Saccharomyces cerevisiae S288C: one gene and its partners. The gene in region 2 interacts genetically with the main gene of each other region. Each region holds a gene or a part of one and is shown on either strand. Other genes may lie near its edges.

Region 1 (7,907 bases), on a different chromosome or scaffold from region 2:
AGTCAATGCAGGCGCTGCCTCTTTCGGTGCTGTTGTTGCAGGTGCAGCTGCTTTATTGTTATAAAAGGGAACCTTTTACAACAAATATTTGAAAAATTACCTCCATTATTATACCTTCTCTTTATGTAATTGTTAGTTCGAAAATTTTTTCTTCATTAATATAATCAACTTCTAAAACTTTCTAAAAACGTTCTCTTTTTCGAGATTAGTGCTTCTTCCCAATCCGTAAGAAATGTTTCCTTTCTTGACAATTGGCACCAGCTGGCTACTCGTTGCTCGAAAACTACTCTCTTTTATTTTTAATTTACGAACGATTATCTTTCGAAGGAACGACCAAACGAGCTAAATATGGGCATCGCCAACGTTAAAAAAATGGACCCTACCGAAGACGTTATTATGCCAAGGCGCAGCGAAGAGTCTTTCTCCTTGAGAAAAAATATGCATGAAACAAAATAGACAGGACCAGACCCTCTTCGGGAAAAAAAGTCAAGATTTAACACGTGGCTACACCGGCTGGCTTACAACCAACCAACATAAGATCAAACAACCCTCAAGTTTAGAAAATGCCTTAATAGCAACCTCTAAAACCATAGACTTCTCCATTTTCACGTGCTAAAAAAGTTCGGGTATGATGTCATACAAATCCTTTCAACAAAAGATGCTTCAAGATCAATGGCACTCGAGATCATAAATCCCTGCAGAGCAGCGGCTCTGCATATAGAATAACAAACAAATCGTATTTTTCCCGAAGCCAAGAAAAAAAGGAGACTATAACCTTTCAAGCCAGACGGAAAACTATCTGCCCAAGGACAAACTGGCATGGGCTGCTTCAATGTTCGGCTACCTTTTTTCTCTTTTAACGGGGTTTGGTATTTTTTTTCTTTACTTCATAAACGAATGTTAAACGACTGTGAAAAAGCCATCCCTGGATTATGCGAGAGTACTCTCAGGGCACCCGTCCGTTTAAAGACCCCAGGCCAAAATAAAAATTTCTTGAAGGAAAAAAATACACAGGGCCTTGAACTGAATACAAAGCCATCTTTTTTCTCGTTTGTCAGCACGTCCCAGAAAAACGCGCAGCCGTAGCTCTTGATAAGTGGCTTCTGCGTTTTGCAACGCTTTTCTGATCTCATGTTTTCTTATGCTGCGGGACATCATTGTCGTTGAGAAAAGTTTCAATTTCAAACGAACTGCCTACCGTTGCATTCTCCTTGGAGAAGGGCCTGAGTTTAGGGGAATCACGTCTGGCTATTACATGCTACATCGTGCAGTAGCTCCTACATCGCTAACAGGCAAATCCTACACCCTCTTTAAATCGTTTATCTTTTATATATTATCTGGCCTAAATTTTTACATATAAATATTTATCATATTATGACAGCTCAAATGAATTTCCGGCACCAAGTCATATGAGCACTCGCTACTGTTCGAAGAACAAAAAATATAAAGCTTCTACAAAATTTCCAGATGTCCATAGGTTACAAAGACAACTTGATGTCAACTATTCTAGCTAAAGATAGGAAATGTGAATTTCCCATCAATTTCGAATGTTCGCCCTCCCAGATAACTCTTATGCCTGAAATGTTCTCTTTTAACAATGAAAGGAAATACCAAACCCTGATACCCTTGATGAAAACATCACATCTAATTGATGATGACTTGAAAGATAAATTGAATAAGTGCGCTTTCGATTTTTTCTCCGGAAAACAAGCGAACAGAACGAGTGACGGGACTATTTCAAGATTAACAGCAAGTGGAAAAACGTCACCGATACTGCCATTGCAAAATATTAATATTGTAAAAGCAGAGAATACCGGTAACGGTAAATCAGATCCATATAGCTCAATTAAAATAAGCAAACCGACAAAAACCGTGATAAAATTGAAATCTACGAAAACCAATACAGCAGGACAGAGGACTCGTCATTTCTGTAAGATCTGCTCTACTGGGTTCACCACTTCTGGTCATCTTTCAAGACATAACAGAATCCATACAGGTGAAAAAAATCATATCTGTCCGCATGAGGGCTGTGGACAGAGGTTTAGTAGACATGATAACTGTAATCAGCATTATCGAACTCATGCAAACAAGAAGAAAAGAAACTGGAAGAGGAGGGAGGCTAGCAGTTGATGTGAGTGAGCTCAGCCAAAAACATTTAAATATTCAAATAACGTACAAATAAAAGACTGATAAATAGTAATAAAACTAAGCGGGTTAGTAATACTCACCAAGAACAATAGCAGGAACGATAGTCGGTTCTCTTTCGTAATTTTTTTAAGTCACAACCCGGAGGGACGTGAAGTTTCAAACCTTATTCATTCCGGGATTACCCTCTCCTGTGATGACGTTTAGGCAATAAGGACTAAAAAAAAAAAAAAGAAATGCTATGGCAAATTTTATTGATAGAAGTGGTAATGATGATGGAAGGGCTTTTGAGCAGGTGAATAGAAGGTAGCTAACGGAAAAGAGTTATTGCACCCTTAATATAATGAATGATGAAATTAATGAGCCACCGCCCAATATATGTGAGCAGTGCTTAGGTGATGAGGCTAATATACGAATGACTAAAATTCCACAAGGCTCTGAATGTAAGATTTGTACCTTACCGTTCACCTTATACCATTTTAAGACGTCTAAACGAAGCAATAATATCATTAAAACATTAATATGTGTACGGTGCGCCACTCAGAGAAACATTTGTCAATGCTGTATGCTTGATTCAAGATGGCACATCCCTATACAACTGCGGGATCATTTAATATCCCTTGTGAACGAGGAAAACGTTATGACGGAGGAAGCAAAAAACGACATGATGAAAAGGTTTCTGTCACTAAAAAACGTGAAATTAGGAGGAGCTCAGATTACGAGTGATCCGTCAGAAGCAGATAATATCGTTGATAAATTGAAAAATATACTTCTGCGAGCAACATCAGATGGCCCAAGTACTCCGTTAATAAAAAACACAACTGCATTGTATAAAAATGAAAAAGGTGCAAATGAGGTCAAAAACTTGGAAAAGTACGCGTCCGTGGACATTTCTCATATTTTGAAGAAACTACCCTTGAATGAATCGTTTTTAAAAAACCCCTCCACCAAATCATTTTTTCTGTATAATATTGATGCCTCGATCCCTGAATGGAAAATAACTGATACAGTTTCGCAATTATTGGGTATAAAGAAATGGAAGGATGGAAATTCATTGTCATTAATAGTCAACCACAAGGCGAAGTGTGGTGGCCTAAGATTTCAATCTAGTGAATTGGGGGAGCGGTTTGTCAGTAAAATAAGTGAGACACTTGTCACACCAAAGGGCCTAAAGAGAGGAGTTTTACTTATTGACCGTTTTAGAATCTTTATCATTCCGTGGTCGTCTGGCTTTTCAGCTGCGTCATTCGGAACCAACACTGCAGAAAATATAAAACTTAGTTTAAGTTTGAATAAGCTTATTCAGTTGGAGCTAGGGCTTTCTTTTCCTACAAAAAGCACAGATAACGCAAAGAATGACAAGAAAAAGACATCAAAAAAAGTTCATAAGGACAGATCAAAGAAATCGAAACCTCGCGCTAACAAGTTAACAATATAGATGAAACGTAAGAAAAATCATGGGTTGAAGAAACGAACTGTTTGATCAATTTCGACCATCCATCTACCTTGCAAGTAATAAACAAAAGCAGGTTGAGTGGGGAACTTTATCTAAGTTGATCAGTATATCTGACAAATTTATACGGAATGCTGCAGTTTGGATTAGCACGAACATTTTATCTGTACGGTTTGTCGCTTTTAGCTGCTCGGGCTCTTCCTCTCGGTTACCGAGATGATAACTCGGCCGAATTTTGTAAGTACAAATAAAAAGAAAGTGACACAATTCTAAAAGTATCACTATAATTTATTATTTTGAGAAAGATAAGGTTCCATAGGTACATGATATATTGACTGATTTCTGATAGCTCTTTTTTTTCCAATATCGATAAAAAACTAAAATATGGAGGAACTAGGTTTAAAAAGCACTTTTCCATATGAATATGGCTCAGACTTTACAATGATAAGAACGGAAATGTTAAATACTACGAAGAGCGAAACAACTATTTTATTTTCCAATATAAAGAGCATTTTGGCCATTATTTGGAAATACTCATTTACATTTTTAAGATCTTTTTCCGATTCCATCAAACTTATTATTGACGATGTTGTCACTATTGGCTCCCGAAATTTTGCAGAGAGATTACAGATTGAAGCGAAAAAAAACAATGACCAAGAAGATATCTGGGCATCCACAATAATTTTGGGTGTGATTATCGGGTATTTAATCTCTTCTATTAAGAGAAAGAACACTTTTCCAATAATGCCTACGAGCTCACCTAAAATAGATGATTGTAGGTTCAAGACTGGTGATACCATATCCATTGTAATAAACTTTAATGAAGACTGCCTCAATAATCGAAGTGACGTTACCGAAGAGAGAAATTATGAGGAATCCACAGTTTTACATTCAAAGGAGTCAGTTCTCAGCATTGGTAGGCAAAATATGGTAACTTTGAACCAAAGCGATGAAAATTTCACCTATGGCAATTTTGATGAGTACGACTTATTAACTAAAGATTATACAACAGAGGTCTTAACGCGATCACCTGGCTCGAATCCCGAGTTTAAAGCAGTGGTAAATAATACATTACTTGATAGCGCGAATGAAACGCCGTTTAAAGGTATTGAAAAAAGTATTAACGAAACAATGGTTAAAGTTCCTATGGGATGCGATGTATCTCTCTCCCATTATGGCAGACAATACGCGCCTGGAAATATTTCAATTATGAGAAGCTTCACTGCTCGAGATAATACTAAATCTGTGAGTAGAGAAATTCGTGATATCTGTAAATCGTTTTTGATTATAAAAAGCCAATTTGGTGACGAACTTTTCCTGACTATGTTCATGGAAAAACCAGTTTTCTTTGATAACAACATCCCAATTGAAATAACTGGAGCATACCGAGAAAAACGAGAGCGATTAGATGAAGTGATTCATAAGGATCTTATCCGCTATGATGAAGTTCAAAATTTGACAAGGATTCGCAATTTGCTCCGGGTTAAAAGTCAAAAGATTTGTTCCAGGAGACATAATAGTTCGGTTCCCACAAAAAAATTGTTAGTTAATGATAAAGGCGCAACTTCGATTCTACTGTGGTACTCTAACTATTCATAGATAAAGTTTATTTGATACATAATCCGGAAAATGTAAGATATGCCAACTGTTAACTAGAAAACATCTGTACTCTATATATCGGAAACAAAAACTTTACGGGTACAACCATGATGAATAAGCTCGAAATTTTTGCCTTCCATATGAGTCCCATTTTGGTGACCAACTCTCCTACCCGAATTACTGTGATGATATATACTCTTCGTTTTCTAGTAATGGCTTCATTTTGCCTAAGTTGGTCAAAATTGTTGTGGGCGGCTTTTGTTTGCACCGAGGAGCGCTCAGTTCGTTATAATACCAGTTTTGCCACTCCTAAACTACTAAAGAAATAATAGAAAGATATATTCATCAAACATAATCACAATCAAAAAAATGTCTACATATGAAGGTATGTAATGATATATTATGAAGTAAGTTCCCCAAAGCCAATTAACTAACCGAATTTTAATCTGCACTCATCATTAGATTAGAGGAACATGGAATACAACAAAACTCAAGGGATTACCAAGAAGTAGGAGGAACTTCACAGGAGGAGCAGAGAAGACAGGTCAGATCCCAACTGCAAGGTCTATTTCAAAACTTTGGTAACACCAGTGGTGAGGGTGATGCACATTCAGATTCAACACTACTTTTACGATTATTATCGCAAATGCTTCCAGAATCATTACAGGAAGAATGGTTGCAAGAAATGGATAAAGGCAAGAGTGCGGGCTGTCCTGATACTTTTGCAGCCTCTTTACCACGAATCAATAAAAAAAAGCTCAAAGCAACTGACAACTGCTCCATTTGTTACACTAATTATTTAGAAGATGAGTACCCCTTAGTAGTTGAATTACCTCATTGCCATCATAAGTTCGACTTAGAGTGTTTGTCTGTCTGGCTATCTCGAAGTACAACATGTCCATTATGCAGAGATAATGTTATGGGCCACCGAATCATTAATGAGATTGATACAACTGAAGCAGAACTGGAAGAAGATTGGGGTATGTACGGTTAATATCTTTCTTTTATATTATATAAAGACACCAAACCTAAGTAGAATAGGTAACTACGTCTTCTTTCACAGAAGACAGACCTACAAGTATTTTGATTATCATGATGAAGTAAAAGCAACGATAAACTTTTTACTAGGTATTATTATTCTGCGCTAACAATAATTATCGCGAGTTGAAAATTTTCAAGCGATGCTCCTAACATTACTGTAAAACAACAGTAGATGAGTACAAGGCAAGCTTAAAAAGAAAGTATTCAAGATGGGTAAGAGCAGCAAAGATAAAAGAGATTTGTACTATAGAAAAGCAAAAGAGCAGGGCTATAGGGCTAGATCTGCTTTCAAACTACTTCAACTCAATGACCAATTTCATTTCCTGGATGATCCAAACTTAAAAAGAGTTGTAGATTTGTGTGCAGCACCAGGTTCATGGTCACAAGTGCTCTCGAGAAAACTGTTTGATGAAAGTCCCAGTTCAGATAAGGAGGACAGGAAAATTGTCTCTGTCGATTTACAACCGATGTCCCCCATACCTCATGTGACAACGTTGCAAGCCGATATCACTCATCCTAAAACATTGGCGAGGATTCTAAAACTGTTTGGCAACGAAAAGGCCGATTTTGTTTGTAGTGATGGTGCACCTGATGTTACTGGGTTACACGATCTTGACGAATACGTGCAACAACAGTTAATTATGAGTGCGCTGCAACTTACTGCATGCATTCTGAAAAAAGGTGGAACTTTTGTGGCAAAGATCTTCAGAGGTCGTGATATAGATATGCTATATTCCCAATTGGGCTATCTATTCGATAAAATCGTTTGCGCAAAGCCAAGATCATCAAGAGGTACATCTCTGGAAGCTTTTATTGTTTGTTTAGGCTATAACCCACCATCCAATTGGACACCAAAATTAGATGTAAATACATCCGTTGATGAATTTTTTCAAGGCTGTTTTTTGAATAAATTGTGTATATCAGACAAATTGTCTCATTGGAATGAAGAGGAGAGAAACATAGCCGAATTTATGGCTTGTGGAAGTCTTCAAAGTTTCGACTCAGATGCCACTTATCATGACCTACCTTCTTCGGTTGCAGGCACTTCATCGTCCTTAGATCCTGTTCAAAGCCCGACGAACCCTCCCTACAAGAAAGCTTTGGAATTAAAAAGGAGCGGGAAACTCACTAGATCAGTTTGATTGCAATATTACTACCTCTAATCAAACAATTAAATAAGTCACTACATTATAAGATTATCTACAAAATCAACTTTTCCTTGCAATCATTAAAAACGATATAGGTTACGGTTATGTAGAATATCCATTGTATAATATAAAAGAAAATGAAACAGTAATTATATTATATTATATTACATGCAAGCATTGAGGAGTATGGCAATCATTTTTCTTCTTTTTTACTTCACCTCGTCTCTTAAAACATCTGCTTTCGAATTTGCGAGTAATAGAACTTTCGAATTGTGACAGAACCATTGAGAACATGGTGAATCTGTCAATATTACAACCCAAAAGCCGGTTGGTGGTAAACCGTAGTACGGAGCATTACAAAGGATTCCATCGTATAAATTATGCATAAGCATCACCTTGATCCATTTGCCTTGCTCCTATTGCCCTGCTTGTTTGTAGGAAAGCCCCTTTTGGTCAAACGAATTGTTCAGTTCGGGTTTACGCATTACATATCTCCTTTTTAGATACAAAAACCTCGAAAC
Region 2 (7,493 bases):
CCATATACTGGACTGCCACCAGTACCATGCTACCCATATTCTTCAACTCCAACACAAACGCACGCATACGAAGGCTATTATTCCCCGATGTATCCCGGCCCCTTGTATAATAATGGTATAATACCAGCCGACTACCATGCAAAGAGGAAGAAGTTGGCTGGTAGATCACCACACTTGGAAGATTTGACATCGAGAAAAAGAACCTTTGTCTCCAAACACCACAACGGAGACCCAATCATAAGTAAGACTGATGAAGACATTGAATGCTCTGTCACGAAAAATTCATTAAGTGAGGGCGCTTCACTTAACGACGATGCCGATGATGACAACGACAAAGAAAGGATCATTATTGGAGAAATCTCTCTGTATGATGATGTTTTCAAATTTGAAGTTCGCGACGACAAAAATGACTATATGAAAGCATGTGAAACAATCTGGACTGAATGGCATAACTTGAAGAAATGACGAGATTTCACTTCTTCACGCTATAGAATGCACCTAAAACTCGCCTGCACTCCGAAACGAAATGCGATACAGTACGTGTCATGCGGTTAGTATATATACATATATATATATATATATATATTCAAATAAATTATAACGTATTAAATAATATGTGAAAAAAGAGGGAGAGTTAGATAGGATCAGTTGGTCAACTCATGGTAGTATTCGTCATAATGTTGTACTTCACTAGCTATTTCTGTAGCATCAAAATCTGATGTGTGTTTGGTGTCCCTAATCAAATCAGTGACTTCGTTCAGGTTCAATTCTAAAAAGTTTTCTAAGAACTGGCCAACTTCCGTATTTTCGTGATTGCCTTGTAAATTGTTCAAGACATATGACCATGTAGCTTTCTTATTGGCGTATGCATATATGTTGACGTCGACTGCGCTGTGACCATGCGTGGTCCAGCCAATTTGGGCCCTAAATGATACCATGTCATTCAGTTTGTCTTGGATAGCATTTGCGTTGTCATCCAAATGAATTAATGTTTCTAAATCGCTATCCGTGTAATCGTAAATACCCAAATCTTTTTCCAGGATCTCATGTTTGATGAAATTTTCTATTTTGCTGCTTGCGCCCTTATGCTCATGAACAAAATCTACTAGTTTTCTTTTCAAAAACTCACCTGAATGGGTGGCGTTGGCGAGCACCTGTGGATACCAGACATACTGAGGATAGCTAGCAGTGACTTGTCTTGAAGTGACTAAACCACCCGTTTCATGATCCGACGTAGAGACCAAAACAGTCTCCGTATCGGAATTTTCAGCAAACTCCAAAACGTATTGGAATGCTTCATCGAAAGCCAACACCTCCCTTACCTGCGAAGCTGGATCGTTTTGGTGACCAGCATGATCAATTCTGGAGCCTTCCACCATTAAGAAAAACCCATTAGAATCTTTGTCCTCATTGGAAGCTTTTTCCAAGGCACCCAAAGCCACCTTGACTTGTTCCTTAAGGGAAGGATACTCCTTTTCATCTCTGTCAATTTCAAAAGGAATGTCGTTATCTGCAAAGAGACCCAAGAAAGGTAAAGTAACGTTTTCACCGTGGCTTTTCAACAAAGAATCAAAATTTTTACGGTCACCCACGTACTGCCAGCCATTAGATTGAGCCTCATCGATTAAATCTCTTCCATCTTTTCTAGCACCGTGGTGACCATATGGAGAAGCCTTTTCGCCTTGAGGGTAGAAATGGCTCCTGCCGCCACCCATGAGTAAGTCTACTACTCTCCCCAGAGGATATTCGCCTAACTGGTGCGTAGCGATAAGATCTTCCTGCCATCTGTAATCAACATGTGAACTGAATGAAGCCGGAGTGGCATCTGTGATTCTTGTCGTAACAACAAGCCCAGTGAGATAACCTGCTAACTTAGCCGCCTCGAGCACTGTACCACAAGGTCTGTGATGCGGATCAACACCGATGGCCCCATTATAGCTCTTTAATGCACATGCAAATGCGGTGGCGCCCGCAGCTGAGTCAGTGACTAGTGAGTCCGAGGACCTTGTTCTCGAAGACCCGATAAAATGCTCGTCAAGTGTCAGGATGTCGTCTATAGGTAAATCATTAACATGCTGGTTGAATGATCTTGCCATGGACAAAGACGCAGGTCCCATCCCATCCGTCACGAAGAATATGACATTCTTCTTCTTGTGTGATGCAGAACGTAATGCAAAACTGCTTGGAAATGCCAGTTGCACTAAAACCAGCAACAAACCAATACAGACCACAGTGGATACTATTATCTTTGATCTCTTCGAGATCCGTCTCTTTTTAGGACGAGAGCTCGAGTCAGATCCAGGAACAAGACGTGTCTGTTCGCTTGGTAATGTGTGAGTCATCATGCTGCTAATGCGCGTTCAAATAATGTCCCGTATGCTGATATGTAAATGTTTATGTAGCCACTTGCTGGCAAAATGTGGAGCACGAAAAAATATAAACGTTTAGATACACTTCTTTCTTTATATACTAAAATCCCTTTACTTTTCCTCTACGCGCGAAGCTTATCGCTATCGTCAATGCTGCTATTCATGTCGATGCTGCTCTTCCGTTAGACGCGCCTTACGAGGGGTGTACAAAGAGGACATCCGCTGCTGTTCTTGCCACTCGTTCGTCAGTTTTGCCCTCAACGCTTCACATTTCTTGTCAATCTGCTCTTCCGAGAGCGTTTCTTCCTCCTCCAGTCGGTCCCGTAGCTCGCTAACTTGTACTTCAATCTCACGTTTCTCCATATGAGTCTCTATCTGTTTCTGCACAGCAAGAGGCCTGCTTGCCTTGTCATGGCTGGCCTTTTTGATCGCATTTTGTCGTTGTTGCCGCTGCTGTTGACTACCCTGTGGTCTGCGCCTATTGTTGCTAGCAAGTGATCGCTGCACGTGGCCCGACGTAGATGACCCTTTTGCCGACTTGAGCCCTATTCCGTTGTACGACATGACTGGACGGTGATGCAGTAGCTGTTAACCGTCGAATGGTATTGTGTAGAGCTCAAATTAGGATTACACAGATTATAATACCACACTTATAGTGCCATTCTTGAGGTCTTACTTGATTCTTCCTTGCCTTTACCCGCACGCTTAATATAATTTTTCCTTCTTATCTGCTACGCCTTCTTCTAGTAGGAAAAAAAAAAGAAATTTGGTGAAGAAACAGTCTGAAAAGGAGATAATTTGCGATTTAATTCGTTTATACATTTTATGAATCTATAATACTGGAAGTGATATCCATATTCGCAAGCAGTTCCACTCGAAAGCATGGCCCTCTTTCTCAGTAAGAGACTGTTGAGATTTACCGTCATTGCAGGTGCGGTTATTGTTCTCCTCCTAACATTGAATTCCAACAGTAGAACTCAGCAATATATTCCGAGTTCCATCTCCGCTGCATTTGATTTTACCTCAGGATCTATATCCCCTGAACAACAAGTCATCTCTGAGGAAAATGATGCTAAAAAATTAGAGCAAAGTGCTCTGAATTCAGAGGCAAGCGAAGACTCCGAAGCCATGGATGAAGAATCCAAGGCTCTGAAAGCTGCCGCTGAAAAGGCAGATGCCCCGATCGACACTAAAACAACCATGGATTATATCACTCCATCTTTTGCTAACAAAGCTGGTAAGCCAAAAGCTTGTTACGTCACTTTGGTGAGAAACAAGGAGTTGAAAGGTTTGCTAAGCTCCATTAAATATGTGGAAAACAAAATTAACAAGAAATTCCCATATCCTTGGGTTTTCCTAAACGATGAACCTTTTACTGAAGAATTCAAGGAAGCAGTCACCAAAGCTGTTTCTTCCGAAGTTAAGTTTGGTATTTTGCCCAAGGAACATTGGTCATATCCTGAATGGATTAATCAAACCAAGGCTGCTGAAATTCGTGCAGATGCTGCCACCAAATACATATACGGTGGCTCCGAATCTTATAGACACATGTGTCGTTACCAATCTGGGTTTTTCTGGAGACATGAATTATTAGAAGAGTACGATTGGTACTGGCGTGTGGAACCAGACATCAAGTTATACTGTGATATTAATTACGACGTTTTTAAGTGGATGCAAGAAAACGAAAAAGTTTACGGCTTTACCGTTTCTATTCATGAATATGAAGTGACGATCCCAACACTATGGCAAACGTCCATGGATTTCATCAAAAAGAACCCCGAATACTTAGATGAAAACAACCTGATGAGTTTTCTTTCGAACGATAATGGTAAAACATACAATCTGTGCCATTTCTGGTCAAACTTTGAAATTGCAAACTTGAATTTGTGGAGGTCACCAGCCTACAGAGAGTATTTTGACACTTTGGATCATCAAGGTGGATTTTTCTACGAAAGATGGGGCGATGCTCCCGTTCATTCTATTGCTGCTGCTTTGTTTTTGCCAAAGGATAAAATCCATTATTTTTCAGACATTGGTTACCATCATCCACCTTATGATAACTGCCCATTGGACAAGGAGGTCTATAACAGTAACAACTGTGAATGTGACCAAGGTAATGATTTCACTTTCCAAGGTTACTCTTGTGGTAAGGAATATTATGATGCTCAAGGGTTGGTAAAGCCAAAAAACTGGAAAAAATTCCGTGAGTAGAAATCTTGGAACATACTGTTTCTTTGTTTTGACTTTATACTTTCTATTTATATTTTATTTTTATAACTGGTTAAGTACACATAGGACTGCGTATCAAACATATAAGTGAGGCAATCCACATTTTTTTTAAAGATTCGAATATTTTTATTCTCATTAGCGTATTCCGAGAATAGTTCGAAAAAATATAAGGTATATCAAGAGTTTTTACAAGTGAGAGGAAAGAGGAATAAGCTATAAGCAACAAAAGCGTAAAAAAATTAGCTGAAGACATAGAACTATGGATGTTCTCAAAGAGGTGTTGTCACTAGACCAAGATAAATTTGACCAGCTGAAGGAAACGAGCCGAGATAAAACAAATGAAACGGATGATCCTTTTGAAAACTATTTGAAGGATTGTAAATTTAAAGCGCCTTCAAACAAAGATCAGTCACCATTTGCTAAACTTAAATCATTACAGGAAACTCATTCTAACAATGAAGCGGCTATTAATATAATTATTCCTCAATTGATTGATTACTTAACCGAATTCACTAATAGGTTATCAAATTACACACAAGATTTAGACTTCATTAAAAAAAAGTCCAATGAATTACAGTCATTGCTCGAATACAACTCCACTAAACTGGCACATATCTCTCCTATGGTTAATGATTTGATGATTCCTCCTGAACTCATTGATGACATCATTAAAGGGAAGATCAATGAAAGCTGGCAGGATAATATAACATTCATAGCAGATAAAGAAGAAATTTATAACAAGTATAGGTCCAATAATCTCGATCAAGACAACAAGGACGCAGAAAATTCAGCAATGCTAGCACCAAAGGATTTTGATAAGTTATGTCAACTCCTGGACATCCTAAAAAATGTTATTCTAGAAAGGTCGAAAAGACTTATTATTTCCAAAATCAAAACTTTGAGGAGTCATAACCCAGTACCATCGCAAAGGATACAAAACAAATTATTAAAAGTTCAAAAAATTTTCCCCTTCATAAGAGATAATAATCTCTCCTTAGCCCTTGAGTTAAGACAGGCATATTGTTACACAATGAAATGGTATTATAGAGAATACTTTTCTAGATATATCAGGTCATTGACTATTTTGCAATTTCAACAAATCGACTCGCAATTTGCATTGGGTAATGGCCTTTCTACAACTTCAGTGAGTGGGTTTAACAATTCACCATCATTGTTTTTCTCAAATTATCTAACTACATCCGCTTCAAATGCTTTCTATAATAAACTCCCTGTAACAGATGAGAAAATTGATAAATACTTTCAGATAAAGAAAAGATTGAACATTTTAACACAAGAAGACAATACGGTAATGGTATCCCAAATTGCAGAAAATAACACAACGAAAAACTACATTGAAATTGGATTTAAAAATTTAAACCTTGCAATTTTAGATAACTGTACGGTGGAGTACCATTTTTTAAAAGATTTCTTCGCTATGAATGGCGATAATTTTGAGGAAATTAATGGTTTATTGGAACAAATATTTCAACCAACTTTTGATGAAGCCACAACATACACTCAACAACTGATCCAATATAATTATGACATTTTTGGTGTATTAATAAGTATTCGTGTGGCCAATCAATTACAATTTGAATCAGAAAGGAGAGGAATACCGTCTATGTTTGATAGTTTCTTGAATGGTCAATTAATTCAATTATGGCCTCGATTTCAGCAATTGGTCGATTTTCAATGCGAGAGCTTACGAAAAGCGGCAATAACTACAAATGTGGCAAAATATGCCGGCAACTCAAGCACATCCAATAGTAGCCCTTTGACCTCACCTCATGAGTTAACTGTACAGTTCGGTAAATTTTTATCAAGCTTCTTGACGTTGGCAATAACACATAAGCAGTCCATAGACGAAAGATCTGAACCCTTATACAATTCCATCATTAGATTAAGAAATGATTTCGAAACAGTCATGACAAAGTGCAGTAAAAAGACGAAATCACCAGAAAGATTTCTGGCTACAAATTACATGTATTTATACAATAACCTACAGCAATTGCATCTACATTTAAATATAAATGACTCGGATGCACAAAACTACAATTTTGATTCTGCTGAAAATGTTGGTACGAAAGTTGCGAATGACGACGATAATGATTCAAGCGTACCACTAATAATCAGAGAGACCGAAAATCATTTCAAAACTTTAGTTGAAGCTTTCACCAGAAATTGATGAATGTAACGATTGTATAAGACATGGAGCGTATAAAGTATATTTTTATGTAAAATGATCTTTATGATTTCTTATTTTGTGTGGAATATAGTCAAATGTTTAACGACCTACCATTATATAGTCTGTCTCAATTAAAATCCTTCAGGAACACCTTTTGCAGGTCTTTGACTTAAATCAAGGTAAATACCGCCGTTTTTGAACCCAAACCACTTGAATCTCACTTGATCGTCACTATCCTCATTTGTCGTTTCATCACGCTTGATATCTGACCTTCCCTCCTCCTTAGAAATAGGATCTTGAATCCGCTGAATAATTTTATAAGCTTCCACATCAGAATAAGGCACACCAGTCCTTGGATCAAAGTACTGACATTCTTTATTTGTGATTAAACATTTTTTTCTTATACCATTGGCTAAGAAGACACCCGTTGGAGGCTGTGTTTTAATTTTGATTTCCAAATCCTTATTTATCTCTGTGTTGATTTGATGGACTATTTTCTTATCGTATTCCCCAAAAGATGGGAAATTTGCCAGAGCTGACAGATCAAGTGATATATCTACGGTAGGAGACGGTACTGAAGACTGAGGAGGTGATGGTAAAATGGAGTGGAAAACAGTTTTCATATCTTGTGGACGCTGAGTGGCGGATAACCCATTTGTGTATGACCATCGATCACCAAATAAGTTTGTGTTAAAATCTTTTAGATTTGG
Region 3 (9,628 bases), on a different chromosome or scaffold from region 2:
AGGTACAGCCTGATCCGATAAAGCAGTGGGATAAAAAGTACTCAAAGACTATTTATAAAAAGTTCAAAATGGATGCAGGTTTATCGACCATGGCAACAAGAAACGGTCAGTCTTCTGCTAGAGTTAAATTGAGAAATAACCTCTTGAATAATGATATAGGAAATATTGACATTAGGGATGAAACACCTATTTCAAGGAACGGGAATGACAGCAATATTAACATCCAGCCTTCTTCCGTGCCGCAGCAGCAGCAGCAGCAGCAGCAATACTACCGTAATGGCATGAATGAGGCTCCAATACAAGCGCCACTTCAACAACGTCAAATTCCCATGCAGAATTATTCACAACAGCAACGCCAGCAACAACAGTATAATTTTGAGTATTCCAATCCACATATGAATGAGATTCCCCTCATGCAGCATAACTTCACCAAACCATCACTAAGCAATAATCGCGATAATGTTAATGGTAAGAAAGCTTCCTCATTTACCCAGAGCTCATTTTCCAATTTTTTCAAACATAAGCATCAATTTGGGAAGTCAAAGAAAAACACTAAGGGGACAGGAGGTGGTGGAGATGGTGATGATGACGATGAGGTTATCTTGGATGATTCTGCAAACTCCGACCTAACATTCAATGACATTCAGACCTTCGGTCACAAGGGCGGTGACAAATATGGATATGGTGGTGATTCCACTCCTATCATTCCAACATTGGTGACTAAAGACCGCGGCAATATGAGTAATACTGAGTATAGGAAGTACATTACTAATCAAAGGAAAACCGCAATGAATGCCATGGCTAAACAAACTAAAAATGGTACATTAGCCTCGTTGCCTCCGAGAGCAATGTCTTTGCAAAGTTTCCCGAATGGTAATCCTTTAATGCAAGCACCCACTCCTCATCCTAGATTTCAACCGAATAAAATGGTGAGCGCTAATTATTCGAGATCAAATTCGTTGATGAGTGGACCTCCCGGACAATTTCGACAGCCGCAGCAACAAAGAATGCTACCGATGAACAACTACAACAATCACCCAGGTCAATTCCAGAATACCCCACCAGTAATGCCCTCTGGACAACAGCCACCTCAGCAACCACGTACTCTGTCATTAACTAATGGCCCAAGATATTCACCCCAAAATCCTCGGCCATTCGCAGGTCATCAGCAGATATCACAAAGACAACAACAACAACAACAACAACTTCAACTTCATCCAATGTCTGAAGGCTATCGGACAATGTCTCTACAAAGTCAGAACGTTCCCCAAGGGTTTAATCCATGGTCACCAAATGACAACGATCGTAAAGCTGTGTCCATGAAACAGCCAATCAGTCAATCGTCAATTTCCTCAAAGAATAATTCAGCTTATTCAATACCGAACGTACAAAACAACTCCCTGACTACATTCTCTCCGTCATCTCCTACTGATGCTACAGCAATGCCTAACTCTACAAAACAAGGATCTTCACCACTAAAAAAACAAGTGAACATTGATCAACCTATTGAAAACAAGGGAAAACTGAATGTTTTGCAATTATCCACTCCTCAACAAAACGAGTTAAAGGAAAAAGAAAGGAAGCTAGCTGAAATGGAAAAATCTTTACGTGAGAGAGAAGCACTAGTAGAAGAAAAAGAAAAGGAAAGAGCTGAGAAAAATACTGAAGCAAATGAAGAGGAGGAAATTTCACATGAATCAGACGATTTAAATTTAAGACCTGCGAGTGCGCTAGAGACTGGTTTAAAAGATCTTAAATTGGAAAGTGAAAGTGCAGTCGCCAATAGAGCGTCCTTGTCGACTTTCTCATCCACATTTAGTGATTCTCCCTCCAAGCAAAGAATCATCAATACCAGAACAGGTATGTATAAGCTAGAAAACTCTACTGATATCAATGAATACGTGACCGCACAAGAATTCCCCTCTCCCGGAAAGTATAACTCAAATTCGGATAATGGCGAAATGAATACAACGAACGAGGTCGATTTTGATTTCAATACTAGTAAAAGGGCTTCTTTGTTACAATCCATACCGGAAAGAGATCCCAAAAGAAATGTCTCAGATGCTACCATTAAGCGACGTGAATCCGATGGCAATGGCAGGAGACTAAGTAATGTCAACATATCCATGAACCAGGAAAACATCAACAATGATACTTTTCTATATAAAAAAAATAATCGCGATGGTCATTTATCAGCAGTTTCTCATATGTCCAGCTCTTCCCGTAGATCGTTCATCTCCAATACGCTGCCGTTGAATATTGATTCCGCCTCAGAATCTGATAATTTTGTACCGCATATGGATGGTTCACCCTCCAAAACAAAATCAGCCCCAGTTAGCTACGATAAGGATGGCATGAATGCTTCAGAAGAAGACTTCAGTTTTGATAATACTTTAGCCAAACCGTATGAACCGTTATATGCTAGGAGAGGAGACATAACTTCCGCCGGATCAACTAGTGGAGAAGATAGCTCTCAGCCAAAGATGATAACAATATCTGGTGAGCAATTGAATTTGATAACAGAAAACAAAGAATTAATGAATGAGTTGACACTGGTGTCTACAGAATTAGCAGAATCGATAAAAAGGGAAACTGAATTAGAAGAAAGAATACGGCTGTATGAAACCAATAATTCAGCACCATCTTTTGACGATTCTTCGAGTGTGTCTTTTTCTGACTTTGAAAAGGAACTGAGAAAAAAATCCAGTAAAATTGTGCAATTGATCCAGCAATTAAATGACGAGAGATTAAAGAGATTCATTGCGGAGGAGCAGTTATTACTCCAAGAAAATGGCACCAAACCAAGTTCTATGGAACTAGTAGGAAGAATTGAAAACTTGAATAAACTTATTGATGAGAGAGATTCAGAAATTGAAATGCTTAAAGGACGTTTACAGTAGATGAATGATGTATTTTATTGTATATATCGCTTAGTGCACCAAAATCATACTACGTAAGTATAAAATCACTTTACACGTAGAAGATGCTTTTTCAGATTGTTCTTGAAAAAGTTGAAAAAAATATAATTCACACTCAGCAACAGGTGAAAGTGTATAATGGGTAAAAAAGGAAGGACAGAAGGTATATTGCTAATCAAAACGACTTTGGTATACGCGTTTGGGGCTACAATTGCATTTTAAATATATTTAAGATGTTTAATAGAAAAAGAAGAGGAGGTATGTTTTAAAACCAATGTTTTCCAGAAGTTTCGTTCTAGAGTGTGTATATCAAGACCAATTAGGATGGTATTTCCATTTTTTGTCAGTTAGTACGGTGTGACAGAAAAGTGTACTTTTGTGGCACAGAGAAGTGGAGAAACGGTACACGTAGAATACATAACGGCAAGTAACCTCTCTTATTTTACTCTCCATCTTTACTTTGTTTTACATTCCTAGGATTATTAGGTTAGCTTGGTTTTACAAAAACTCAATTATTCAGTTTCATTCAAATTACTAACATACCCAACTTTGACTACCTTGCATATGATTTTACCGTTAGACTTCGATGAAGATGAAAATTACCGTGATTTTAGGCCTCGCATGCCTAAAAGACAGAGAATCCCACCTGTTGTACAACTGTGTAAAGAAATGATGCCCGATATTCGCACTATTGGTGAATCTGTTAAAGCTTTTGAAGATGATATCAAATTCTTGAGTGAAGCTATAATGAATGAGTATGGCCATGAGGACTACTTTAATAATGCTTTACTGAGCACTTTAAACGCTGTTGTTGTGGAGCAACCACAGAAGCAAGCTGCTATCGCTCTCTTAACCATGGTTGTTAATTCGAAAAATAATGTTGCCGGAAAGAGTATTATCAATTACTTCTTCGAAGAATTACAAAAATGGTGCAAGCAAACATATAATGATGAATTCAAGAGTACGTCAAATGAAACTGGGCCATGGAACAAGATCAAGTTAATCCTGAGATTTTTATCCATTCTATCGCCCATGTTTTTAGTTGATGAACTAATCAATATCTACAAGAGCTTATTTGAATTGAGTATCGAATTAAACAATCTGGATCCAGGTAACAGAGTTCCTTTATCTGAAGCAATTTACACCAATACATTATTAAATATCCCGTATTTGTTCTTTTTTAATAGGAATAATGACGGTTTGAGGACAAAAGTGGAGGAGTTACTTGCATACGTTGAACAAAACTATCTAGTTAAAACAACGGATATAAACCTATTAAGAGAATACAATGGTGAACCTCCATATGAAATGGTAGAACTTGTCCGAGTCGTATTACCAAACGTCAAGAAGGCGCTAATCAATAACTTGGAACAGCTGAATGAATTATTTCCTGATTGGAATCATTTATTAACTCCCCAAACCGGTGATGAAGGGTTCAATGACGCTTTAACCCTTCCATCAGTAGATGATCTAAAGTCTTTCGTGCGCTTGAATAAAAACTTTGGTTCAGTTGATAGCATGTGGAAGACACCAAGGTATGCTTTTCATGTTTACTTGCCAAACTCCGCTGGTAATTTCGAAACAGTTGTACCAATCAGCACTTATGCTGGTCAATTATTCAACGATATCATTATTGATCTGGTGGAAAGTTTAGAATTCAATAGAAAGGAAGTAGCTAGACAAGTGATAACTTTGGATCTTTTTTTCAAAGCAGGTATATTTACAGAACCTGGTGAATCTATTGCCCAATTAATTGCCACTTATGAAGAGAACCCATTGGCTCCTACATTTAAGATAGAAGATTTGGCTATTGAAACCATTTTGGGACTTATTTTTAAATTACCTAGTGTTTCCCAGCCTTTTGCATACTTTTACACTTTATTGGTGGATATTTGTCAAAATTCTCCAAAAGCAATTGCTCCTGTCTTTGGTAGAGCCTTTAGGTTTTTTTATAGTCATTTGGATTCATTAGATTTTGAACTAAAATTAAGATATTTGGACTGGTTTTCAATTCAAATGAGCAACTTTAATTTTTCTTGGAAGTGGAATGAATGGGAAGACGATTCGATCAAATTTGGCAAGTATTTTTATAATCCAAAGGTAAATTTTGCTAAAAATTTGATTCAAAAAGAACTACGATTGACCTCTAACTTTTCAGAAGTAGAGGACAGCCTACCACAAGAATTCACGAAATATTTGGATACTTCTTACATTCCAAGAGATCAACTGATTAACTACTATCAATCATTATTCACCGGTTATACGGTAGAAGAAGATTCCGTTAGAAAAAATGATCTATATTTTAGACAAGAAGGTGTACCTATGGAAAACACAGTCCGTAAAATTTTAGATTATACCCACAAAGCAAACAATTCTAGGGAAGTTACTGAATTAGAAAGTATTCTAGGTGAGTTAAAGAATGAGTATGGTTCCATAATTTCCGACTTTAACAGATTTGTTATCATATTGTTAGTCCAGGCCGTTACAGACTCTGGTAGTAGATCTTTATCACATGCTAATAAATATATTAATGATTTAAAAGAAGATCTCAAAACCATATTTGCGAAGATTGAATTGGATATCGAGACAAAAGAGTATATCATAATTGAAGCCGTCCTAACATTTTGGAACGCCAACCCTCAGACAGGTTTCTTAGTAGCAGATGCATTCAAATATGCAGGTTTACTTACTTCCAGAACCATTTTTACATTTATATTTAACGAAACTGGTTTGAAGAATAATGGTTTGATTGAAGCTACAGCAATTGAAGCGGTCTTTAGAAATTTATCTCAACAAATCTCGGAAGAGAACGAAAGTGGAAATAATTTTGAGTTCGTTTTCGAAAGATTATGTACCATCGCCAACAGTACTATAGACTTACTAGATGTCAATGCTGATGAAGATATTGAGATACCTAAAGTCAACGGGGAAATGGACATCGACGATATTGAAGATGATAAACTGGATTTGAAATGGAAATATTTTACAGTGATTGGGTTTATTAAAAGTATATTAAGAAGGTATTCCCACGAATATCGTGAGTTAGCAGACAAATTCATTGCCAACATTGATAACGCTATTCCACACGAATCCACTAGGAGAACAATTTCGAATTGGATTCAAGAAACAAAGGAAGTTTAAAAAGATTCGGAGGATGGACTACATTCGTTATCACTCCGCTTTTTAATTTTTAATCAATGTTACATACCTAGCGTAATTTTCCTATATATAAAATATCAGCTTTATATAAATATATTATTGAAACTGTACCTATAATAATAAATTTAAAATTAAGTAAATACAAATGCTTCAAAATTTGTTAGTATTGTTTTCTTCAATCATCTTTACTTAATTGTCATCGCAATAATTAAATTAATATTTTATTGTTGTTGCGTATATAATACAACCTGAATGGTATGCTACACTATGTTACACTATGCTATTGATCAGAGTTTCTAATGACGAATTACACTTCTATAACTATCCGCTTTGGAAAGTTTGAGACGAAGGGCGTTACAATCAGAATCCGTATCCAAAGGATGTTCTTCAGAATTAGTCAGATCTACACCTGATGAAACATGCCTTGCGACAGTACTTATGCTACTTTCTCTAACCAAATGTGTAGGCGGTTCGGGAAAGTAATGCATATCATCCTGCGCGTATTCGTTTTCATCAAATGGGTTTATTGAATATTTTGATTCAGTTCTTCCAATGTTATTTGAACTGCCATTTAATCTAAAATTATGTAAATTTGCAAATGAAGTGTCTCTTGTTAATGACACTTCACCGAAATAGAGACAAAACTTAACAAACTTTATGAACTGGTCTCTAGTAACGTCCTTCCCTGAAAATCTAATTGTTTCATATAAATCGATAAACTCCTTCGCCTTTTCTAACTGAATTTTATTGGCGTTGTGATTAACAAATTGTGAGTTCACCACGTCGGCAAACGTATCTTCTAGATTCATTCTAACATCTAAATTGTTCAGAAACAATCCATGGTATTTCAGTCTATCTGTTAAACTTTTTATACAATCAGCATAGTTTAGGTATTCTGGAAATAACTTTTCATCTAATGGGTAGTCACATCTCCTCGGGGGCTCAAGTCCGTCGTGAATAACAGGGTCTTTAGGTTTTTTGAGAAGAATTGTTAATTCTTTAGATCTTTCCATGTTCTGCAGTACTGCTTCCCTACTAGAACGATGCGGGAGATCAGCAGGTGTGATCGGAATATATCTTCTTGGTATATCTTTTAAACAACTCTTATGAAATAGCATTCTTCCAATAATAATAAAGATACAAAAAACGCCAAAGACAACTAAAGCGCCTACAACAATGAACGTATTAAAGGCATTGTTTTCTGATTTAGAAGCTTGTGCAATGGAATCTATGGGTAAAACAACTGAAAACCCAATCAAAAGTATCAAAGAAACGAAAAGGGAAGCTTTGTATAACCACGACTTGAGTTTTGCGAATCCGGACATCTACTGCTAAGTATGGACACTCGTGTCTATAGATAGTATCAGGCCAAAGTTGTATAGCGGTATCTTTTTTTGAATAAATTTCAATGTGTTTTCCTCTGTTTAACCTCCCACTTTCTTTGATGCTCAAGAGCAATAACTTTATCGCAAAATAACAAAACTTTAATATGTGTTGTAATTTTGGCTAAACCCAGTTCAACATCACCACAAAAGAAGGTTTCCTTTATGCCCTTACCCTTTCTGCCTTCTTATTCTAGAATTTGTTTTGATGCTGTATTTGTTTGGTCCTTGTTCGTCATCGAAAAACCGGCCCAAAAACGGCTAATAAAAACGTGAACCTGTTTTAAGTCTTTTGCTATAAAAGATATTTATACTCTAAAAAAAGGGAAACTTTTGCAGCAAAACAAATTTTATGCATTAGTTCTCTGTTCTTAACTTGGTCAGACAAAATTCGTCCGTTTGTAGTTGTCTGTACAGGAATTCATCGAGCGATATTCTATCCTGAAATACATATGCCATTAAGTTACATCCTGAATAGATTCCTAGTCATCTATCAGCAAATATTCATCTTTTAATTTGAACCAATTCCGTTTTGTTCCATGTAGTTTCAACCAGCTATTCAATGACTGCAAGTAAATTTGGTTATTCTCCCCAATACAGTTCAAGTGCTTCAAGGTCAAAATAACATCATTGACTCTCATTCCAGTCACGATGGAAAGATCCTCCAGGGTCACTTTATCATAATGGGCGAGGTCACCTTCAATAAGGTGCCAACAGAGTATCTGTGACCAATATTTCAAGTACCCGATTAGTCCAAAAGGTGATAACGGTACTTCTGGCCCTGATATTACACCTTCTAATTGGGATAGTTTGTATGAAAACTCGATAAGTAAAAGGCCTAATCCACGTCGTTGATATGGGGGAAATATCAAGATGCACGCTAGATTATTTTGCTGATATGACACTAAATCTTTCGAAAAGAATCCCATCGGCTTTGTTGATCCAGTTTCATAAACTATGTAAAATTCATAATGATCTACTTTGAAATACATGGATTTATTGTCCAGATATAGCTTAGTGAAAAGACAAAGACATTGGCAAAAGAGTTGATACTTGGATCCTTTTACTCTTCTTATTGTATATTCAGGACTCTTGTATTTTATTTTGCCTGGAACACGATATTGAAATGGACAACTTGCAACATGTCCTACAAACCGCGTCTGATCATCCGTGTATTTGAAGCAGTATTCACAAACGAAAAGAGTGTCTAGCCAGTATTGGCTGTTAGAAACAGAGGAAAGCTGACCCTTGGTCTCGGAGCACCCTAGCCTTTTTGTTTCAGGATCGAAATAAACGGCGCTCCCATACCAAGTAGAGAATTTTTTATTCAGTCCAAACTGAATCTGTCTTATGTTCCTTTCGTTCAGTATTCCATATAGCATCTCTTTTTGAGTTTTTTTAATTTTTGCTGAGGGCTTATTCTTGCCTTTTCCACCATTCTTCTTTCCTTTTAGCTTCTGGGTAGTCGCTGTGAGTGATTGACTTAAAGATCTTGCCATTTTTTTTGCGAGTGAAAACAAAAAGCAACTAGAAAATAGGAGCCTCCAATATCAAAAAATCAAACTTCAATTTAACAGATTCTTAGAGCGCTACATACTCTATCCAGTTCGATATGGACAAGACTTAATGATTTCATCATCTCTTCTGATTAACGATTCTGTTATTCTTCATATTTACGCGCCTAACATATCATGATGATTGGGTGTTCCGAAAATTTTCATTGGCGATGAGCTGAGTATTGAAAGCTCATTATAGTATTAGTATATTATTGTTAATAGCAAGTGCTATATGCTATAAAAATGCAATTACAACCCAATACTAATAATAGAGTGTCTTAAGAAATATAAGTATGGGTACTTACAGAAAAAGGTTTAATGAAAAAGCCAGATCCGGCCATATGGCCAAATTAAAAGAACTGAAAAGAATTAGGAATAAGCAGTTCACTAGACAGGATGAAAACGATGAAAGAGTAGAAAACCCAGATTCAGCTCCCGCTGAGAGTTCTACTACGGAGCCAAATGCCAATGCGGAAATTCTTGAACCTCTCACTGAAGAAGAAAAGAAAATGAAGAAAAGAAAACTACAGGAGTTATTTACCCCAAAGGAATCGAAAGTTTCGAGATTGAAGAAGAAAAGACTGGATAAATTTATTGAACATCAATTAAAAAG
Region 4 (8,073 bases), 1.3 Mb from region 2:
ATAAGCCACCGCTCTGTCAGGGTAACCCTATGAAACATTTCAAAACGTTATAAAGGAACTCGTCTGGTTACAACAAGGAAATATCACTACAAACAGCTGTCCGTACGGCTCCTCAACTCTCTCAATGTTGTTCGCCTGGTCACACACAGCATAGTTTCGTCATTCGGCGCCGACGGTCGCTGTCTCTTGGAGCCTTCAAGCTCTTGTCAACCCAGGTCCGTTGTGCCGATAAAAGTAACAGCAGACCCCCACGCCCGCATCCCACTCTCTTCTCCGACCACCTCCCTCGAAGTTCTTCCCTGCCAATCCCACGTCGATCCAGCGTAGTTGGCCCCAACTGGTGCAGTAATAACCGCTTAGCGATTTTGCACTCGGAACTACATATGTATATATATATGTGTGTGTGTGTGTGGGCTGGAAAGATTTCTTGAGCTTCCGTGTTATAGTGCAATTTAAATATTGTACATCATTCCGATCCAGCTGGAAACAAAAGCAAGAACAATGTTGTGGAAGCGTACTTGCACAAGGCTAATAAAGCCTATTGCACAACCTAGAGGAAGGCTGGTGAGAAGATCATGCTACAGATACGCCTCAACAGGCACAGGCAGCACCGACAGCAGCAGCCAGTGGTTAAAATACTCTGTCATCGCCTCTTCAGCTACTCTATTCGGTTATTTGTTCGCTAAGAACCTCTATTCTAGGGAGACTAAGGAAGATTTGATAGAGAAGCTGGAAATGGTCAAAAAGATCGACCCAGTAAATTCTACGTTAAAGCTGTCCTCATTGGACTCACCAGACTATTTGCACGACCCGGTTAAGATCGATAAGGTTGTTGAGGACCTGAAGCAGGTGCTGGGAAACAAGCCTGAAAACTACTCTGATGCGAAATCCGATTTGGACGCCCATTCAGATACCTACTTCAACACGCATCACCCCTCTCCCGAGCAAAGACCTAGGATTATATTATTCCCTCATACTACCGAAGAAGTTTCCAAAATTTTGAAAATATGTCACGATAACAACATGCCAGTTGTACCCTTCTCGGGCGGAACGTCCTTGGAGGGGCACTTCCTGCCTACAAGAATTGGAGATACCATAACCGTAGACCTGTCCAAGTTTATGAATAACGTCGTAAAATTTGACAAGCTGGACCTGGACATCACCGTGCAGGCCGGTCTACCCTGGGAGGATTTGAATGACTATTTGAGCGACCACGGTTTGATGTTTGGCTGTGACCCTGGTCCAGGTGCACAGATTGGTGGTTGCATTGCTAATTCTTGTTCAGGAACCAACGCCTACCGTTACGGTACCATGAAGGAGAATATTATAAACATGACTATAGTGTTGCCGGACGGGACCATTGTCAAGACGAAGAAAAGACCCAGAAAGTCGAGCGCTGGCTATAACTTAAATGGTTTATTTGTGGGAAGTGAAGGTACCTTAGGTATTGTTACTGAAGCTACTGTCAAGTGTCATGTCAAGCCCAAAGCTGAAACTGTTGCGGTGGTATCCTTTGATACTATCAAGGATGCGGCCGCATGTGCTTCTAATCTGACTCAGAGTGGTATTCATTTGAACGCCATGGAGTTACTGGATGAAAATATGATGAAGTTGATCAACGCATCTGAATCCACGGACAGATGTGATTGGGTAGAGAAACCAACTATGTTTTTCAAGATTGGTGGGAGATCTCCCAACATTGTCAATGCTCTTGTGGATGAAGTTAAGGCTGTCGCCCAGTTAAATCACTGCAACAGTTTTCAGTTTGCTAAAGATGATGACGAAAAATTGGAATTATGGGAAGCTAGAAAGGTCGCGCTATGGTCTGTGCTAGACGCTGATAAGAGCAAAGACAAATCAGCTAAAATTTGGACAACTGATGTAGCTGTTCCTGTGTCGCAGTTCGACAAGGTTATTCACGAAACTAAAAAGGACATGCAAGCTAGTAAGCTGATCAACGCCATTGTTGGTCATGCAGGTGATGGTAACTTCCATGCATTCATCGTCTACAGAACCCCTGAAGAACACGAAACCTGTAGCCAACTTGTTGACAGAATGGTCAAGAGAGCACTGAACGCAGAAGGCACTTGCACGGGTGAACACGGTGTTGGTATTGGTAAAAGAGAGTACTTGCTCGAAGAATTAGGTGAAGCACCCGTCGATTTGATGAGAAAGATTAAGCTAGCTATTGACCCAAAGAGAATCATGAACCCGGACAAAATCTTTAAAACTGATCCAAACGAGCCCGCTAATGATTACAGGTGAGTATCTGATTTTCCTTTTTCACCCTTCACGTAAACCTGAAATATATTTCATGTAATATATATAGTTCATCCTTAAAGAAAACATACCATTTCAAAATGCCCTTTCCCAGTAGCTAATACATGCTTAAAAATGTGATATATATTATTACCATCAAATGTATTCATGATCCGGGTAGTGCCTTTTTTTCCTTCAAACACTAATGGGATGGGAAGAAACATTTCGAAAAAAGTTATGACTATTGGCAGCATCAGAGAGAATTAAACCTTACCTGTACAACGATAGCAGCTTACATCACTTCCTCGCAGTCATGGAAAAAAATACGGCACCATTTGTCGTCGATACGGCACCCACAACTCCTCCAGATAAACTTGTAGCACCTTCTATAGAGGAAGTAAATAGTAATCCCAACGAATTAAGAGCTCTTAGAGGGCAGGGTAGATATTTTGGCGTAAGCGATGATGACAAGGATGCCATTAAAGAGGCAGCACCTAAATGTAATAATTGCTCTCAAAGAGGTCATTTGAAGAAGGATTGTCCCCATATAATATGTTCGTACTGTGGGGCGACGGATGATCATTATTCTCGACATTGTCCGAAGGCTATCCAGTGTTCAAAGTGTGATGAGGTGGGTCATTACAGGTCACAATGTCCACATAAATGGAAAAAAGTTCAGTGCACTCTTTGTAAGAGTAAGAAACACTCAAAAGAAAGATGTCCTAGTATATGGAGAGCATATATTTTAGTAGATGATAATGAAAAGGCTAAGCCCAAGGTCCTTCCCTTTCATACTATATACTGTTATAACTGCGGTGGAAAGGGGCACTTTGGTGATGATTGCAAGGAAAAACGATCATCTAGAGTACCTAACGAGGATGGAAGTGCGTTCACTGGTTCTAATTTGTCAGTTGAGCTAAAACAGGAATATTACCGTCACATGAACAGAAATTCGGACGAAAATGAAGACTATCAATTTAGTGAGTCCATATACGATGAGGATCCACTACCGAGACCTTCCCATAAAAGACATTCCCAAAACGATCACTCTCATAGTGGCAGAAATAAACGTAGAGCATCGAACTTCCATCCTCCTCCTTATCAAAAGTCTAATGTCATTCAACCAACTATAAGGGGCGAGACGCTGTCACTCAATAATAATATTAGTAAAAATTCACGGTATCAAAATACAAAAGTAAACGTCTCGTCGATATCGGAGAATATGTATGGCTCCAGATATAACCCTTCTACTTATGTTGATAATAACAGCATTTCCAACTCTTCCAATTACAGAAACTACAATTCTTATCAACCATATAGGAGTGGTACCTTGGGGAAAAGAAGATAACTTTAAATAGGAAGCCCTTTAACAAGCTGTTCTTGGTTACATTATATTTTCTTAATGAAAGATTAAAGACAATACCTAATTCGACCATTAATCAAAATAGCATGTAAATTTCTTACATCTTCTTGTTGTGAAAAAAAAAGGCCTTCGTGCAATCACAGGTAATAATAATAACATATACATACATATACGTAAATACGTCTTATAACTCCTGCTACCTCATACGCTATTTTCTATTATGGCTAACATCTATGCAACTCAATTTAGTCTCTTTTTACCTTTTTCACAATGAATGTATAAAGGTCCTTTTCATCGTAATCTAACCTTCTTTTTTGTGCATTTAAACCGTCATAATCGATTAGAGCAAGTTTGTCGACAAACCGATCTTTTCTATTTAGCTTTAGTGAATCGCACAGTTTTATTCTTCCTAACCTGCAGTTTTTGAAAAATTCGCCTTTAAGAACAGTTATCTCTCCTGCCATTGATGTTACCACCAAGTGAAACGTAAGGGCGCAAACATTGTCTGTGCCTACGTCTATATCATTAATTATAACAATTGTATCATTAATCAATCCGAAATCATGGGGTATTATCCGAATAGTATCCTTGGAATTCCTTAACAAATTTTTGGTATTTTTTATTTCAAATCTATTTATCAACAAAACTCCATGTGTGTCCAATATAAAGCATAAAGAATCATCCAGCATAAATAATTTCTTGAATGAACATAAATTTCCCAATGCCTGCTTGAATTGAGCTGTCTCATCATCTATCACTTGGCCATCCACCTTCATTTGACTTTCTGCCCACTCTTCTTCATTAGTTCCATTTTCAGAGCCATTTTTGTTCGATAATGAATCGATTTTAATTATTGGTTCATCATAGTACCGAGGTCGGAATGCACTCAACGTGACGAAATGATCGATGCACACAATGTCCATCTTTTTGTAATTATCTGTTAGAAAAGAAGTCATTGTTTCATCACTTTCATCTGTAGTGTTATCATCTTCATTCACCCCATCATTTCCATTTCTATGAGAAATCTTTTCAACAATTTCAAAATCTACCATAAATGTATTCCTTCTTAATCCTCGGATAAAAGAATCTAATTCCCACTTCGTTGAACAGGGTACATCCATTCTTTCTCTAAAAGCGTCTCTAGTTAAGGCTTGAAAAGATTCTCTCCTTCTTCGACTCAGCGGTCTCGGTTCGCTGCTAGCAGTACTGAATGAAGAATTTCGGCGACTACTTCCCAGCATATCTTGAGTGTGGAATAACTCATATATGTCATCTTTAGCGTGACCTTGACGCTGTTTCCAGACGATTCCTGAATCCAGCATTCCTGTTCCAGAATATTTTACAATATCATCCCAAATGGTTGAATTTATAATATCCGTATCGAATGTAAACTTGTTACTAATCCAGCTGAACAAAGAACCAAATCCATTTTGTTGCGCTACGTTGTCCCACGAAAGTATCTCACCGCATGTATCTCCCTGTATACTGTTCTTTAGGCTGATAAAGGTGCTTAAAAATGTAACATAAGTCAATGGTAAAATTATTTTCCTTATAAATAGTGGTGATCGTGGCGATACTGTCATGAAACAAAACCGGTCTAATGGATTTATATGGAATGTGGAAATACCTCGTTCTATATGTAAATACATCGAAGGCCTATATATGGGCAGGCCTTGATACATATTGCAAAACGAAGATACCACGGGTGACGATCTTAAATGGGATGGTTCTATAGGCAAAAGGAAGTAGCAGATATGCTTAGAGCATGACCTTCCAGTGTACCGCGTACTACCTTCAAATAATTTTTCTTCTTCTGAAGAATGTGTTGTATTATTATCGTGATGTACTTTGAAAAAGCAATCTGGAAACATGGGGTTGTACATGTTCTTATACTGAATGTAATCAGTGGGAAGGTTCATTACAAAGACATATATTCGACCGGAGCACATACAACAATATAATAAACCTTGACTATATTCAAGACCAGCGATCATATAGTCACTAAAAAAATTGGATTCGAAATCTTCCGGAGTACATCTAAGGATATAAGAGGGCGCTAATCGCAGGCCATTTTTTATCTTGTATTGATAGTTGCTTATGATTTCAATGAATCCGTTGGATTTAGCCAGCACCATGTAATCACATGAGTCCAAAATATGCGTTGCGTCTGGAGATATTGACGTGTCTCTACCATTAGGCCTTAAATAACAAAACGCTTGTATATTTGCATTCACATCTACTTTTGTACAACCTCTTTCTGATGGGACCAGTGCTAATCGATCGTTTTTAAATTCAAATAACCTATAACCAGACGGTTTACCCTTAGTATTGCAGGGAGTAGAAACAGCAAATTGAATCCTGCCAGTAGCCATCGATAACAAAATGTTCAGATTATGTGGAAAGACGCTTTCTGCGTGTATTTAACAACTCAAAGTAAAACCTATCTTAACCTGGTTTTGTTCTATTAGATGCCATTCAACTATGGGGAAGGTATATTTGGATGTTTGTTAGCAATTTTCAGGAAGGCAAGTACTTAATACCGATCAGCTTACTATTGTTTTTGACCTTAGAGCTCTTTTCAACAAAGCTTCGCATTGTGAAAAGCAGACCCAAAACGGCAACTGAGAAAATACGGCACTGTGGAAATAAGTCATGCATCAATCATCAGCTGTAAAAAACCTTTAGAAAAGACATTATACAGATTCTTAGATAGGTATTGATGTTTGGTATTACTATTTTTTGGAGAAATGAGTAAGAATGTTGGTAAGCTAGTGAAAATATGGAATGAATCAGAAGTTTTAGTTGATAGAAAATCGAAATTTCAAGCAAGATGTTGCCCATTACAAAATCAAAAGGATATACCCTCCATACTCCAAGAACTAACGCAAAACAACAAAAGCGTCTCCAAGGCATCCCACATGCACATGTATGCCTGGAGAACGGCCGAGGTATCAAATAATTTGCACTTACAACAAGAGCAGAAAAAGAAGGGCAATAAAGCAAATAAGAGTAATAATAGTCATGTTAACAAGTCAAGGAACATAACGGTGCAGCCAAAGAACATTGAGCAAGGATGTGCTGACTGTGGCGAAGCTGGTGCTGGACAGCGTTTATTGACCTTACTTGAAAGAGCAAACATATTCAACGTCTTGGTAATAGTGACCAGATGGTATGGTGGCACGCCTTTGGGCTCATCAAGATTCAGACACATTTCAACATGTGCAGTGGAAACCTTAAAGAAGGGTGGATTTCTTCCTTAAATATCACCCTTACCATATAATATACACAATTGTAGAATATAATATTGATAAATATATACATATGTAGATAACTATAAAACTTGGCATTTTATTTTCAAATGTATTTGTAAGGGTTTAAAATTCCATTAGGATCATAATGAACCTTCAAATCCTTCATCATCTTGACCTCTTCCGGGCTCTTAGAATAGCCAATGTAATTTTTCTTTTGGAAACCTAGCCCATGTTCGGCACTAACGGAACCATGTTTTGAGGAAACAAACTCGTAGACAAATGGTTCCAAAGTCTTTTCAATGTTCTTGTTGTACTCTCTAACTGCAACATTTAAGTGTAGATTACCATCACCCACGTGACCGTATCCAATGGCGCCCACCACTGGTTTGGGCGAATCACCCACTAATTCAGCTTCAGAAAGTCTTGCATTAGTGGCTTCAACCAAAGAATATAGGTCCTTTAGTGGTAAAGAAACATCGTATTTGTAAACACCACCATTAGCTTGACTTGCCTCTGGAATCATTTCTCTCCACTTCCACAAGTTTTGGAGTTCGGTTTCATCTTGTGCCACTACACCATCCGTTACTATGCCCTCTTCCATGACGTTTTCTAAAAATGTTTCAAGTTTGGAATCATCGTGATCTTTGTTTGACCCTGACGTTTCGATAAGAATATAAAATGGATGCTCATCCTCCAAAGGGAAGGCAGCATCCTTCAATTGGCTCTTGGCCAATACTTGAGATTTAGCATCCATAAATTCAAAAGCGGATAAAATCTCAGATAATTCTTGCCTGGCTCTGACGAAGACTTTTTGAACGTCTTCAAAACTTTCAACAGACAAGTAAGATACATTAAACGCTTTTGGCTTAGGAACAGTCAAGATTGAAACACCAGTGATGATACCGATAGTACCTTCTGAGCCAATGAACAGCTGTTTCAGATCATAACCGGTGTTGTCTTTTCTCATGGAATGCATGCTATTAACAATTTGACCATTGGGCATTACCACCTCTAAGCCTAAAACGCTTCCATGTAGTGAGCCATAACGCAATAACCTTAGTCCTCCAGCGTTGGTTGCAACCACGCCACCAACATGGCAGGAACCTTTAGCTCCCAGATCCAACGGAAACATATAATTTTGTTCCATTACGTAATTGTTAGCATTTTCCAAGATTACACCAGCATCACACTTCAAGATAC

The links.
Region 1: mutations in CWC21 (region 2) and ECM2 are lethal when combined (synthetic lethality), as found in Saccharomyces cerevisiae (2 studies listed by BioGRID, with this or other methods).
Region 3: mutations in CWC21 (region 2) and STO1 are lethal when combined (synthetic lethality), as found in Saccharomyces cerevisiae (2 studies listed by BioGRID, with this or other methods).
Region 4: of CWC21 (region 2) and AIR2, changing one suppresses a phenotype caused by changing the other (phenotypic suppression), as found in Saccharomyces cerevisiae (2 studies listed by BioGRID, with this or other methods).

The regions. Positions count from the first base shown.
Region 1 is NC_001134.8:364,260-372,166, reverse strand, and holds ECM2 (Pre-mRNA-splicing factor ECM2), read left to right. Parts: upstream 1-2,488; coding exon 2,489-3,583; downstream 3,584-7,907. Other genes in the region: TIP1 (putative lipase), read left to right, coding at 1-64; NRG2 (Nrg2p), read left to right, coding at 1,468-2,130; CNM1 (Cnm1p), read left to right, coding at 3,983-5,197; YBR062C (uncharacterized protein), read left to right, coding at 5,567-5,582, 5,665-6,191; tRNA methyltransferase TRM7, read left to right, coding at 6,448-7,380. UniProt on the Saccharomyces cerevisiae protein: Involved in pre-mRNA splicing. Facilitates the cooperative formation of U2/U6 helix II in association with stem II in the spliceosome. Binds to RNA.
Region 2 is NC_001136.10:1,417,906-1,425,398, forward strand, and holds CWC21 (U2-type spliceosomal complex subunit CWC21), read right to left. Parts: upstream 2,934-7,493; coding exon 2,526-2,933; downstream 1-2,525. Other genes in the region: DIG2 (Dig2p), read left to right, coding at 1-465; alkaline phosphatase PHO8, read right to left, coding at 645-2,345; alpha-1,2-mannosyltransferase KRE2, read left to right, coding at 3,252-4,580; VPS52 (Vps52p), read left to right, coding at 4,858-6,783; VPS72 (Vps72p), read right to left, coding at 6,915-7,493. UniProt on the Saccharomyces cerevisiae protein: Involved in pre-mRNA splicing. May function at or prior to the first catalytic step of splicing at the catalytic center of the spliceosome, together with ISY1. May do so by stabilizing the catalytic center or the position of the RNA substrate.
Region 3 is NC_001145.3:514,388-524,015, forward strand, and holds STO1 (Sto1p), read left to right. Parts: upstream 1-3,151; coding exon 3,152-3,176; intron 3,177-3,498; coding exon 3,499-6,059; downstream 6,060-9,628. Other genes in the region: EPO1 (Epo1p), read left to right, coding at 69-2,900; DLT1 (Dlt1p), read right to left, coding at 6,374-7,402; SAS2 (histone acetyltransferase), read right to left, coding at 7,942-8,958; ATP-dependent RNA helicase ECM16, read left to right, coding at 9,309-9,628. UniProt on the Saccharomyces cerevisiae protein: Component of the CBC complex, which binds co-transcriptionally to the 5'-cap of pre-mRNAs and is involved in maturation, export and degradation of nuclear mRNAs.
Region 4 is NC_001136.10:140,018-148,090, reverse strand, and holds AIR2 (TRAMP complex RNA-binding subunit), read left to right. Parts: upstream 1-2,572; coding exon 2,573-3,607; downstream 3,608-8,073. Other genes in the region: DLD1 (D-lactate dehydrogenase), read left to right, coding at 502-2,265; GID12 (Gid12p), read right to left, coding at 3,868-5,994; YDL177C (uncharacterized protein), read left to right, coding at 6,370-6,882; DLD2 (D-lactate dehydrogenase), read right to left, coding at 6,977-8,073. UniProt on the Saccharomyces cerevisiae protein: Component of the TRAMP (TRF4) complex which has a poly(A) RNA polymerase activity and is involved in a post-transcriptional quality control mechanism limiting inappropriate expression of genetic information.